Linked DNA regions of Neodiprion lecontei. The protein of the gene in region 2 purifies or fractionates together with the protein of the main gene of each other region. This does not show direct contact. Links are inferred from orthologs where the notes say so. Each region holds a gene or a part of one and is shown on either strand. Other genes may lie near its edges. The genes, in order: protein 60A and activin receptor type-1.

The links.
Region 1: the proteins of activin receptor type-1 (region 2) and protein 60A purify together in Drosophila melanogaster (affinity purification with western blotting, with the first as the bait; 3 studies listed by BioGRID). This does not show direct contact. The link is inferred for Neodiprion lecontei from reciprocal best matches to the Drosophila melanogaster genes sax and gbb.

The regions. Positions count from the first base shown.
Region 1 is NC_060261.1:30,143,005-30,148,268, reverse strand, and holds the start of protein 60A, read right to left. Parts: upstream 3,280-5,264; 5' UTR 2,729-3,279; coding exon 2,308-2,728; intron 1-2,307. UniProt on the Drosophila melanogaster protein: Required for the growth of imaginal tissues and for patterning of the adult wing.
Region 2 is NC_060262.1:35,382,955-35,390,120, forward strand, and holds activin receptor type-1, read right to left. Parts: upstream 5,413-7,166; 5' UTR 5,337-5,412; coding exon 5,276-5,336; intron 5,259-5,275; exon of another isoform or gene 5,192-5,258; intron 4,933-5,191; coding exon 4,748-4,932; intron 4,012-4,747; coding exon 3,762-4,011; intron 3,647-3,761; coding exon 3,384-3,646; intron 3,212-3,383; coding exon 2,565-3,211; intron 2,474-2,564; coding exon 2,239-2,473; intron 2,158-2,238; coding exon 2,020-2,157; 3' UTR 1,509-2,019; coding exon of another isoform or gene 1,483-1,508; 3' UTR 660-1,482; downstream 1-659. Other genes in the region: uncharacterized protein LOC107224729, read left to right, coding at 1-433.

The DNA.
Region 1 (5,264 bases), on a different chromosome or scaffold from region 2:
GACAATATTTCCGTAGGGTATTAAAAATGTTTTTATAAAAGCTGCATCTCCGACTGTGAGATGTTCATCTATCCACACGCTTATACCCGATTAACCCATAGAGATGGACTTACAGCCGATGGGATAGCGATGCAGGAGCGTTACTATCAAGCACCGTACCCACATAATACACACATCTACCAATTTCGTGCAGCGTATAACGCGAGGATTGTTTTAAGATGCTCCGGCAGCATTTTCCCGTTAATCTTGGTAGCCTGTTTCTCTTCTTTTTTTCTCTCCTTTTCCTCTCTCCGTTCGTCTTTCTCACAAGACAAGATGAGTCAATATAATCTAAATTCTAAGTAGGACAGCGGGAGGGACCGCAGGGGACCGAGGGCCGTACAGGGCCCAGGTAAGAAACCTCCCTCGAGGCCCCATCGACCCTCACCCTCCTCGGAATTGTTCGATGCCGCATGTTAAAAACAAGCGTTTCAACTCCCCCGTCTTTGCCGTCATTTACAAAATATTCGGACCACCCGGCCGGGACGACTCGATTACTGAAAGTTATATCGCTGCTCATTGTCTCAGAAATCTATTATTAGTAGGAGGCACGAGAGCGGTGAAAAAACAAGAGGAGTTACAAAAAGTAAGAAACGATGCGTAATAAACTGTCCGATATATTTACAAGCTACGATCAACTCGACGTCAGACTTCCAGTTCATGTTGCATAATTCATTGGGAAATTATTGTCAATGCATCGAGTATAGGTATAAGGCACAAGATTGCATGGTGATTATTTTTCAGGACCTACTTTCGAGGCACCTACGGTGTTAGATGAAATACTATTATTATTCCGCTGCTGCTGATAGTGGTCAGAATTCCCTTCCGGCGTTATTCTACGCTCAGGTATAACAAATTGTAACAAACACGTGAATACGTCGAATTAAACCGTTTCTAAGATTGCTGTTATACCAAACGTGAGAAATACTTTTGACTCGTCACTATTTTATCGTTTGAAAATTTTCATGCCTAGCTCATGATAGGGAACGTGACTACGTGCAGTGTGCGTGTAAAGTATAATGGTGAAAAATATCCTGTTAATCTATATTAAATGAACTATATATTTCTATAACATTTTACTTTCTGTCTTCATTGATTTCTGGAAGATATCGAATTTCTCAATGCGTACAAATCATAGGGCAGAAATTTTGCAAACAAGATTCAAAAGCTTTTTACTGATTTCGAGGAGAAACGATGTTTCAGCGCATCACGCGGAATGTCAATTATAAATTCTTACTCGGTGACGCGAAAAGAGACAGAAAGAGAGAGAGAGAGAGAGACAGATAGGAATGTGAAGACGGAGAGAAAAAAAAATTGACAAACATGGCCATCACGCGCTGACATTTTTTAAACGTAGGTACTGGACGACGATCTTTCCCATCATTCTCGTCTCGCCAGATTATCATAAATTGGTGAATACTTCTTTTCGCATGGAATGAAGTTTACAGAAAAATCTGAACATTAAGTAGAAATCTGTTTATTAAATATTGCCGAGAGTCGAACAAGGCAGCCGGAGAGTTTGGTGTTAAAAATATGCAAATTCGTATTTCTCGCTAACGAAATGTCACAGGAGTGTTATGTATGATGTACGTCCATGATTGCGTATTTATCAGGGCCGTGAGCATCTGCATGATTTAAATACACTTACTCGACGTGTACGGCGTAACCTAATGAACACGTCAAATTAACGGGGCTGTCGAACAATTTCGAAACGAAGAAACGCTACTTTTTATGTCTACAATATTGTTAAACTATCTCAAAAATCCCATAGGAACAAACTAGTTAGTTTAATGTTGTTATATTCGAATTTGGTCAATCATGTATTCAAGTTCAACGATGTTTCGACTGACAGGAAATTAATGTAACTTAGACCGTGTTCAAATCACTCAATGACCAGACCCATCATCATGTGCAATCTGCGTTGTAACGATTCTGAAGTAACGCAACTTTCTTCTATATATAATAATTTTCCCAGTTTTTGTTTTTCTCGCGTTGATTTTCGATTGTTGAAACATCCCCTAATATACGTAAAACACTTTCAGTATTCCGATTTTAATATCGGGTGCAATTGACTGACTAATCAAATCGACAAATCGTTGAAACTGATTGTAGGAAAACACAGAAACGCGGCGGGAAATACAAGTAATTTTGAATTTAAAATTAAACAAGGGCTTTGACGCGAATTGATTGACAAAAAAAAAAAAAAAATTTCCTTCCTGCCAAATTTTGCCGCTGTTCCTGTTTTTTTTTTTTTTTTCTTATACTCACTGTGCGCAGCAAAGCTCATTATAACATCGCTCTGGTCAATTGCTCTGAGGTCTTGTCCGCTGAGATCAAAGTGCCCGCGGTCTCCTTCGGGTTTTACGGTAGACGACAAGTCCTGATCCTCCCCCTCGCCGAGGGTGTTCCTGTATATGTCGAGGAGAAACTTGGGCGCCGATCGTTTCACCTGTGGCGGATGTCCACCGAGTCCTCTGGGCCGATCGGGTAGCCCCAAGAGGTTCAATATCTCGTGTTCAACTTCCTGTCTTTCGCGCTGCGTAACTACCCGATGTATAACCGTCTGGTCGAGACCATTGTCGACGTAAAGTCCGCTCAGACGTCCCTCCGAGTCGCCGATTTCGGTGAAGAACAACAACAACAACGACGAGTACAACGCGACGATTGACAATTTACCAAAACGGAGCATCTTCGATCTCGTATGAAGAAACAAGGTCGACTCCCTCGGCAGAGTTGCGCCCTGCGCCGGAATTTGAATTTCTCCCGCCAATTGTCACACCGCTAATCAGTATTATCACTCGATATTTTTCTCTCTCTTCTCTTATGCACTGCGGGAAACGTGCCGTTGATGTTTATGTTTATCTTTATCCGGTCCGTTTTACTGTCGTTTTATCCCCGTTGATTCGCTTTGTTTCTCAATGATTTTTCGCCTTTCGCTTTTATCGAACTTGTTATACTATAAACAATTTTTCCAACTCTCACTTGCACGTATTTATTTACTTAATTTCACGCGTCTCTTTTTCCCGTACAGAGCGAAAGCAGTGGTGCAGCGTTTCCTCGTTCGTTCGTTCACCATTTAATTCCTCGTGATCACTCCGCAGGCAATGCTAGTGCCAGTCTGCTTGTCTGGCCCGATCGCCAACCTGCCTCTCCGTATAACTTCTCGCAAGGCCTCAGGCTCAGGGACGGAATAAGAGGAGGGGTTCCCCCTACGCCTAATGCTCAATGGCGTTGCAGCTACCCTGGAACCCGACTTCGGTCTCAAGCGAACGAAAATGAATCACAGAAACTGACGAAAAAGACAAAAGACGTGTTGAATTTTTCAAATATTGAACGTGTTTGTCATTCGTTGACATTCGCAATCAGGTCGGTTTTTATAGGACCATTTTTCTTCAGTATCCGACGCTGGAAGACCAAGATTTAACTAATTTTTGACACCCGAGGTGCTTGCACGTTGATCATGTCCTTTCAAATCACGCCAAATTATGCTTCTGGAAGCTTTCTGATTTTTCCTGAACGCAGATTCCGGTTCGCTCAGAGTTAATTATTACGCGTGTATATTCAAATATCATATTCTCCGAAATGTAGAATACTAATCAAATTTGATTATAGCTGAAACACGCGCGCTTCTGAAACACCATTTTTATGTCTTGACGCTACATTTTGGACATCGGTGTTTTTCCTCTCCTTTTTTTTAGCATAGTTCAGACCTGCTTCCTAATCTACTTTTACACCGCTCATCTTAAAGTTCAAATTTTCGTACGCTTATATTTCCGCATAAATTTGAACGGTTTCTATCTGGGTTTCTGTTTACTGTTTCATTATGAATAACGTTTAGCGCAAATCAGAGCAATTAGAGCTAAAAAGAGAGCTTTAAGATTATTTTGAACATGTTTCTGGTTGCATATTTACGCGTGTTTTGTTGTTGATGTTGTTGTTGTTGTTGTTATTGGTGTAGGACCGTTTCTCGAAGAGCAGGACGGAGAGCGAAAGATAGAGAGAGTAATGTTTGGGTGAAAGTATTTATTGCGGTACGGGATATGCCGGGGTTCGATCAAAAATTCAAGACATCGTGCAGAATGGCACAAAAACGGCGGTTATAATTGAAGCCATCAAATGGCACTGATCAGTTATAAAGCTGACAACTTCTTCGAATTCCATCTCGTAACTTGTTTATACCAGAAGTACAGTAGCGTATGCCGTAATAGCGGAAATGTAGTGAAATATAATATTCTTTTCATGAAGAACGCATACAAATGCAATTTTTCAAATATTTGATGCTGAATTGGGACAATATATAGATAATTGATGTTTATTCAGTCTCTTATGAATCATCGTGTAAAAATTGATATGTATTTTTTACCAGAACGGTAGATCTAAAGAAGGCTGCTACCACCGATCGTTGAATGAAGAACATTTTTACTGACGGGGACAACTAATTAGACTGATGTAGCCAAAGTGTGTGTATGTGAAAAAAGCGGACTCGATAAAATACATAAGTAACGTTTCATTATTAATTATGAAATGATTTATTGAGTCATCATTTAAATCGTTGGAAAACTTGCTATGGGGTCTAAAACCGTGATTGCTTTGGATTACTGAACCGTTCTAATGATCGCCGGAAGCGGCAAATTGAATGTAAATCGCGAAAATATTGATTTGAACGATATTACGAGAAACGCGGGCTGTACTAGCTGTCGTCGGTGTTCAAACACCGTGATAACATTGTAAAAAACAATAATTGTACGGCCCTGTCGAGTCGACACCGACGTGGATGCTAGGTAATACGGGATGAGAAGATTCTCCTGCCGAAGAGGAGGCTCGCGGAGGAGAGAGAGAAAGAGCGAGAGGAGAGGGGCAGGAGGATGAGAACGGAGAAAAGAGAGGCGCGGAGAGGCAGGTAGGGAGGCACGAGGTAAAGCAGGGAGCACCGTCTGTTCACGTGTAAGAAATAACTAATAAGATAAACAAGTATGTACGTATATACATACGTACCTACGCACTTATACACGTAAGTATGCACGAGAGCTGGAGAAAAGCCCGCGGGCAAATTCCCGACTACGAGTATTACATACGTATGGAATTCCATGTCGCGTATATGCATGCGTGTATTCGGCATATTTGAACGAACGTTTCGTACATATGCGAGAAATCGACGTAACTGCTCTGCAAGGTGCTGCACGTTCGCCTTGCCTTGGGGTGATCGTTATTAAATCTTGATTAAC
Region 2 (7,166 bases):
ATCCAGGCAGGAGAGTCAAGCTGCGAAGAAGCACAGAAAGATTTTAAACAGCATAGATGACAGAACTAAGTTTCATTGTTGTAGTAGTAAAATGCACAACAGGCGCAATCGTAAGACAAAGAAAGTGGCTTCGTCAGGATTTTCTCATGCCTTAATAGCCACTGAAATGAGAAAATGCCTAATGAGACATGACTGGGCTCATATAACCGAACTCTTACCACTCTTGTTAAGAGGGCATTCAGAAACAGAGCCACTCATGTGGAGGTATCTGATTATACAAATATTGTACGGTACCAAAGGTAATTTGGCAATGCTTAATCATTTCCTCGAAATGTCTGTGCGTACCCAAAGTTCAGATTTTCTAAATGTGGTATTAGCACTTCCCGCTCAAATAAAAGAAACTGACTCCATGTCAATTGAGTTTGACAGTTAACGCTATAAACTTGAATCATTTAGAACAATTAGGTATTACAAGAATATGAGAATAACATATCATGCCATATAAGTGTTTTCCGGTATCTGAATTAGAAGTAATTGTTTGTGGAAAATAACGCTTTACCACGTCAAAAAATTACGGAATTAGCGCAATTAAATGAATGCCTCATATTTTGACATGTGTTGTTGATGAAAATGGGAAATTCGCTAATTATTCGATTACACATTATATACTTGTATATTACTTATTTTCGTACATTTTTTTATGATAAACATAATAAAAGTTAATATTAATACAAAGATACTATTTACAACGACTCTCAATAGATCATCGACGTTTCCAATAATATAAACTATGTAAGTGATGCGCACAACAATAGGGCATTATGTACACGTGTTGTAGCAATAAAAATATAAAAACAACCACAAGGTAACATATAAAATACAGTTAAAGACTGTCCGAAAAACGTTCGGACTGCCTTTCATTGATTACCTACGTGAAATCAATTTGTACATACAAAGAGTACCTACAAAATGCGTTTGTATTGACGAATTCAAATTCAGGTACAAGCTATGGCAATTTTACAGAATAACTATATTGAACAGCAACTGAATGATGTTCGAAAAATTCGTTCTTCATCGTGCAAGTTTATTATTGACTTCCAAGTAGCTGTGAAAACTCAGGGTGGTCACACAATTTGAATTTGGAAATTCTGTTTCCCTGACCGAAATTACGCTTTTCCTCTGACTTCTTGCTTGGGTTTATCGCATTTGGAAACACTTTTCCTGTATTTTCGAAAATGTTTGAAGTAAATATTTACTTCATTAATAGAACGTCAAAGTTTTGGTCTGCAGCATACATGTTGTATGCGTATCATCATTCTGATCTATACAGATAAATCATAATAATTGATCAAGTGCAGGAATTCAAAAGATAAACCAAAAACTCGAGCGCATATAGCAGACAAGAAAATTGACAATCTTCCAATTTAAATCATCAATAATATTTGAAAAAACAAAATCCTCTAATATATCCCATTTTTCCAGGTTTTCCAGATGAGTGGCCACCCTGAAATTGATTACGCACAGCAGACCCAGTGACATTTGAAGAAACAGGTCATTCTCAGCAGACATCTATCTCACAACTAGTTTCATTCATACTGTTTTCTTAGCTGGAACCAAGGTATAGCTCTGGTTGGAAACCTTAAGCTTGTCTTTCGCAACTACGTACAGTTAAAAAATTCTTCCATAACGTTGCAGCAGCTTGTAACTGATTTATAGACATGATTTATACATTATTACATCACAAACTTAAGATTCTAATTGATGCTATTTCTGAGTAGCTGTACTGATAGTTTTAACTGCGGTTCAATGATGTAATGTGAAATAAAATTCATGAGATAGTACTAGAAGACTTGCAAGCATCGCCTTAATATGTGGACAGACGATATTTTCTATACTCTCAGAGGTAATGACACAAAGTTTCATACTGGTTGAAAAAATTTGACATGAATAAAATGATGATTTGATGAAATTATAGTAATAATAAATACGTGTGTGAGAACTGGTAGGTGAAGTTACCAGTCAGTCTAGGGGCAAATGAACATGAGGGTCATTTGATGCCAGCTTCACAAGCGTTTTCTTCACTCTGAGTACCGGGAGACGTGCAGCAGGTTTCCCATGCCAACACTCGCGAATCAATTTTCCCATTCCAGCGAGAGTCTAAGAAACAACATGAATGTAGTAAATTGATTTTGTTTTTCTATTGCAGTCAATAAAAATACATTATATAAACAAACTTACAGGATCTGAGTGCCATCGGTTTGGAAGAGGTGGTCTTCGCTGATTCAGCGACACCAATTTTCGCATTTCTTCAAAAGAGGGTTCTTGGTTGCTACCCGAAAGCCACTCAGAATAAGGAGCAGCATAATCCAAAGCCACACCACTACTCACGCATCTCCGACTTACCTCCCACATAACCAGTGCTAAACTGTAAATATCTGCACGACGAAAACTCTCTAAACACTCTATGTTTATTCTGTAATCAGAAATTTAATAGTATCTTGTTAGATTTGAGTTAAGATAAAAGTTAAGATGTAAAAACTCAACAAACATAACATTGTGCATACGTTTGATCGAGGACTTCTGGACTCATGTACCGCTTGGTACCTTGACGAAGATCAACTCGATCCATGGTGAGACGTTCCTGAGTTACAGCAAGTGCGAAATCTGATATTGCGCAGGCACCATTTGCTTTGACAAGTATATTTTTGGTTTTCAAGTCGCGGTGCGACATTGCTGGTTTTCCTCGGGTTCCATTAATTTCAGTGTGTAAATAAAGTAGTCCGTTTGCCACACTCAGGCAGATGTTCAGCGTTTGGTGGTGTGTCAGGGGATGGGGCGAACGATTTAAATGATTATAAAGAGAGCCAAGTGGATGGTAGTGTGTCACTAGCCACAATTGAGTGCAGCTTCCTCTGCTTGTCATATCGGTGCCGACATATCCGAGAATATTGTCGTGACGTGATGGTAAAAGTCTAGAATATACCTCCGTTTCACGAGTCCATGCGGCTTCATCTCTTGAGAAGTATATTTTTACAGCTACGCACTCCCCGTGCCAGACACCACGCCATACTTCGCCACCAAATCCGCCACCTCCACCACTTCCACTTCCCAAGCATTCAACTAATGCTACCTGTTTTGCTAGTGTACGTTGAACAAGTAATGGTAATCCTGATCCTGAACCGCTAGTCAGACTCCGTCCATCCAGATATTCCTGTTTAGTAGATAAACAAATCACAATGATTATACCAATAAGTATGCACTTGCCAATGATTTCACTAATTTGCAAGTAATTTTACGTATTTGCAAATATACTGCAGTACTCAGGCCAAACGTGATGTCATCGAAATATCACATCTGGCCTGCTAATGATTACAATTTGATACCTTGAGGGTGCTATCACCAGCAGCAGTTGCTCTGAGCTCATGCGTATGATAGGTGGAAGTTGTGGAGGGAGATGAGGAAAAATGAAGTGAGGAAGGCTCTAGTTCTGAGTCAACTAGAAGTTTGTTTCGTCGAGGGACCAATGGGCGCTTGCGACGTGTCCTACGAATGAGTATACAAGCGAGTATGCCGCTTCCGACTACTCCAAGTCCAACCATCGGACCCAGGATTGCCAGAGTCAGTTTTAGTGCATAATCTTCCACTCCTGTAAAGGAAAAACTATTGTTATAGCTAAACCATCAAATTTTCATGAACTTCAGTATGAATGAAACGTCAATAATTTATATTTATTTTTCTTCTATCTTTCAACTTCTATTCACCGTTCGATTGCTCCGGGGAATAGTGCGAGGGCAGGTCAGGAAAAGGTCCGTTATTACATAAATCACCCTGGCAGCATACAACGCTGAATTGTCCACCTCTAGTTGAACTGCTTGCTTGTCTCTTTTTTCCACTACCATTTCCAACTGGTTGTTGTTTGCTACATATCAGCGGCATCTGTTCAGGTTTTATGGTACACCCTCTACTCAGTTGCTGTGTCCCATCTGCTTCCTGCACTTTGGACTTCCAGCACTGATGGGGAAGAAAATTAAATTGGTATTACACTACCACTTTTGTGTGTTAAGGCTCAGATGATCACTTAACAAATCAGCCATATGTTTCTTCCAATTTATACACATGATGAACGATAATCTTTTATTGTAAAAATACTGTATGGTTTCATCACTGTACGAAGTTTCACTTCAATTGACACTATTTTAAATTTAATGTATGATTTATCCGCATCAGATCTGATTGTACGAAAAATATAAATGCAATTTGAATTTATAAGATGATATAGGAAAATTGCACTGAAGACAAAGCAAGAACTCTGAACTTTGAAAAGCTTCTACTACTTTATTAAATTTGCTTTCAGTTCCAGCTGTGCGTTGAAAAATTGCATTTCAAACGGTATTCATATTGACATAAATCAAAAATGGAGTGAGCGCTGAAGCTATCTTTATTGAACTAATAGATATTGTCTTCCTAAAACTGAGTAGACCAGTTACTTGTTGGAAAAATAAATATTTTAATGACATGAATGATAACAAGCAGCGCAGGTATTATTTTTACTCAATAGTCAACTTGAATCCATTTATGTAATGAAAAGTTATGTGGTTGATTCTGTCTTATTGGTACAAAACTGAAATTGAGAGAGAAGAAAACTGGATCTAGCTGATTAATAACAAATAAATGAATGATTTAATAAAACTAGTGCAAGTGATAAATGATATGTAGAAAAATCTCTCTGGAAAGGTTTTGAACCTACTGTGATTGCATCGTTGCAGGTTTCTTCAGACGAACAATCTGGAGGATCACAAGAGAGGCACTTGTAACGTTTTTGGGTTGAAATACCGCCCGTAATCTGACGATCTATCGGTTCAAGAGGATCAGGTGGTTCTTCATTGTCCATGGAAACGTCAACCTCCCTCAATCCTATACTTTGTTTTTCTCCTGTTAAATCCAAAACGACATGAAATAATTTGATACACACTGACATAGGGATGCAAAATTATGCACGCCAAGTTCGTACTCGGAAAATCATAATTGTTTTAAAATTTCGTGAAAACAGCCGTTGAATCTCTTACGGCACTGTTCGTATTTCTTCCGTTAACACATGAACTACCCCTTTTTTGAGCGAGATGTAAAAGAAGAAATTTAGTCATTTCGTTGCCGTTTGTGGCACTGATAAGGGCTATTAATATTGCGTTACTCAGCTGATGCTCGTATCCTTAAAAAATTTTCTTCGGTAAACACAAAGTAGAATAATCCTGTATGCGTGCATTAAGGCTCGTACCTGGACATAATTTGAACGTCAACAAAAGCACAAAATGCGTGATAAATATAACATCCGCCATGTCTGTGCGCGTCAAAACAATAAACTACTTGTCTCAGATCACGGTCTTACATACAGGTCTTGCAACGAACTGAAATTTGAGTGGTGGGGATAGCCGCGTTTTGTCCAAATTTTTTTGCCACTACTGACCACTACGCAGCGCTGTCAGTTATTCATAGGACATATGACTGACATTACCAACGTAAGGTTATCTGTGTACAAGTATCAAAAAGATTGGTTAGGGTTCCGCCAAAGAATAATAATAAGCTTATGAATAACTCGTAGCGTCGCTCTTGTGGCCATAAGTTGTACTTTTGTTTCGGACGTGAACTGACTACCCCCCACCACGTTCGTTGCAAGACCTGTATGTAAGACCGTGACTCAGATACTACCAAAAAATATCGAGTTCCACTCATTGTCGCGTTGACTGAAGATATATAAAGACTGCTAGCCTCATAGGACTTCTCGTAATCGAAAATGGACAAGATAAATTCATTATCAAGCGCCCTCTGCGTCCTTCCCTGCACGCGCAACTCAATTCGGCAAGAGTATTGTTTGTGAAAAAAATTTGAGTTAGTTATTATTTTACAAAAGACGTAGCTATATCATGATTTATTCTGTTTTCAATAATAATCTGATGCGGTTATCGATGAAGTAATGGTAGGTTCATGCGGAATGAATGCCGGTGGTTTCACCTCCGTGAAGTTGGCCCCCCGAAGTTGTTATTTTTAAATCTAATTAATGCAATTCGTTTGAGAATCGTTTGAGAGGGTTTGAGAGTACAGAAAAATCGTTTGAGAGTTAGTAGGTTTTCCGGAAAATTGATTTTAATTTTGGGTGTGAAGTTGGCCCCCATATTTTCTATCTCCTCAAAAAATGGACTTAGACGTTTAATTTTTCTTTTTCATCGTTTGAGAATCGTTTGAGAGGATTTGAGAGTAGAAAAAAACTGTTAGAGAGTTAATATTTTAATTGATATTAAATAATTATTCAATTTGCGATTTCCCCTAGGATTAGAGCACTTCCGGTGTGCGCATTGTGTGTGCGCACTGCATATGCGCAACATGTCTGCGCAGTGCGTCTGAAATCAGCTGTAGCGACCGAGATTGACGAAGAAATACGAGTTTCGAGGATGCGAATTATCGTAAATCGAACGGGTACGAGATGGACATGGAGACGAAGCTGAGCAATTTTCTCTCAATGACACCAATGGTAAGAGAAGAATTGGATGAAACTATTGGAAAAATACACGAGCGTCTAAAACGGGAAACTTGACGAAATCTTTTTAACGCAGTGCAACAGAAAGTGAAATCTTTTATAGAACGCCAAAATTGATATTTACTTGCAGATAAGGAATAATGCACTCATAATTGGAAGAAACGTAGAATGTCGATGGGCTTATAATATACCTATTTATTACTTGAACAATTATTGATATGAAAACATAATCCATGTTGAAGTATCACCAGGGTGTGTAACAAAAAAAAATACGTTTCGAATTACAGATGAGAGATATGTTAATTATAAGCTATTCAAAAAATGGAAAATAAAAGATGGATAGGTGATTATTAATCAATGAATAAAATTACGGAGAACATTGCATTATATTGCTTCATATATTGTATTACTGAGGTTATAAACAGTAACTGACAGTTCTTAAGTTCTTCTCGTTACTCCGTTTGATGGCTACAAGGCTTTCTACATTCAAGTGCCATACGGTTGTCATTTTAAACCCAACACAGTTGCAGGCTTACCAACACGAAATAAATTTTTGTCATTAAAGTACTGTGTGTAGCTGACAGAGAGAAACCTAATTGTAGCTGAGTATAAACTTTATCCCACAGATTTAAAC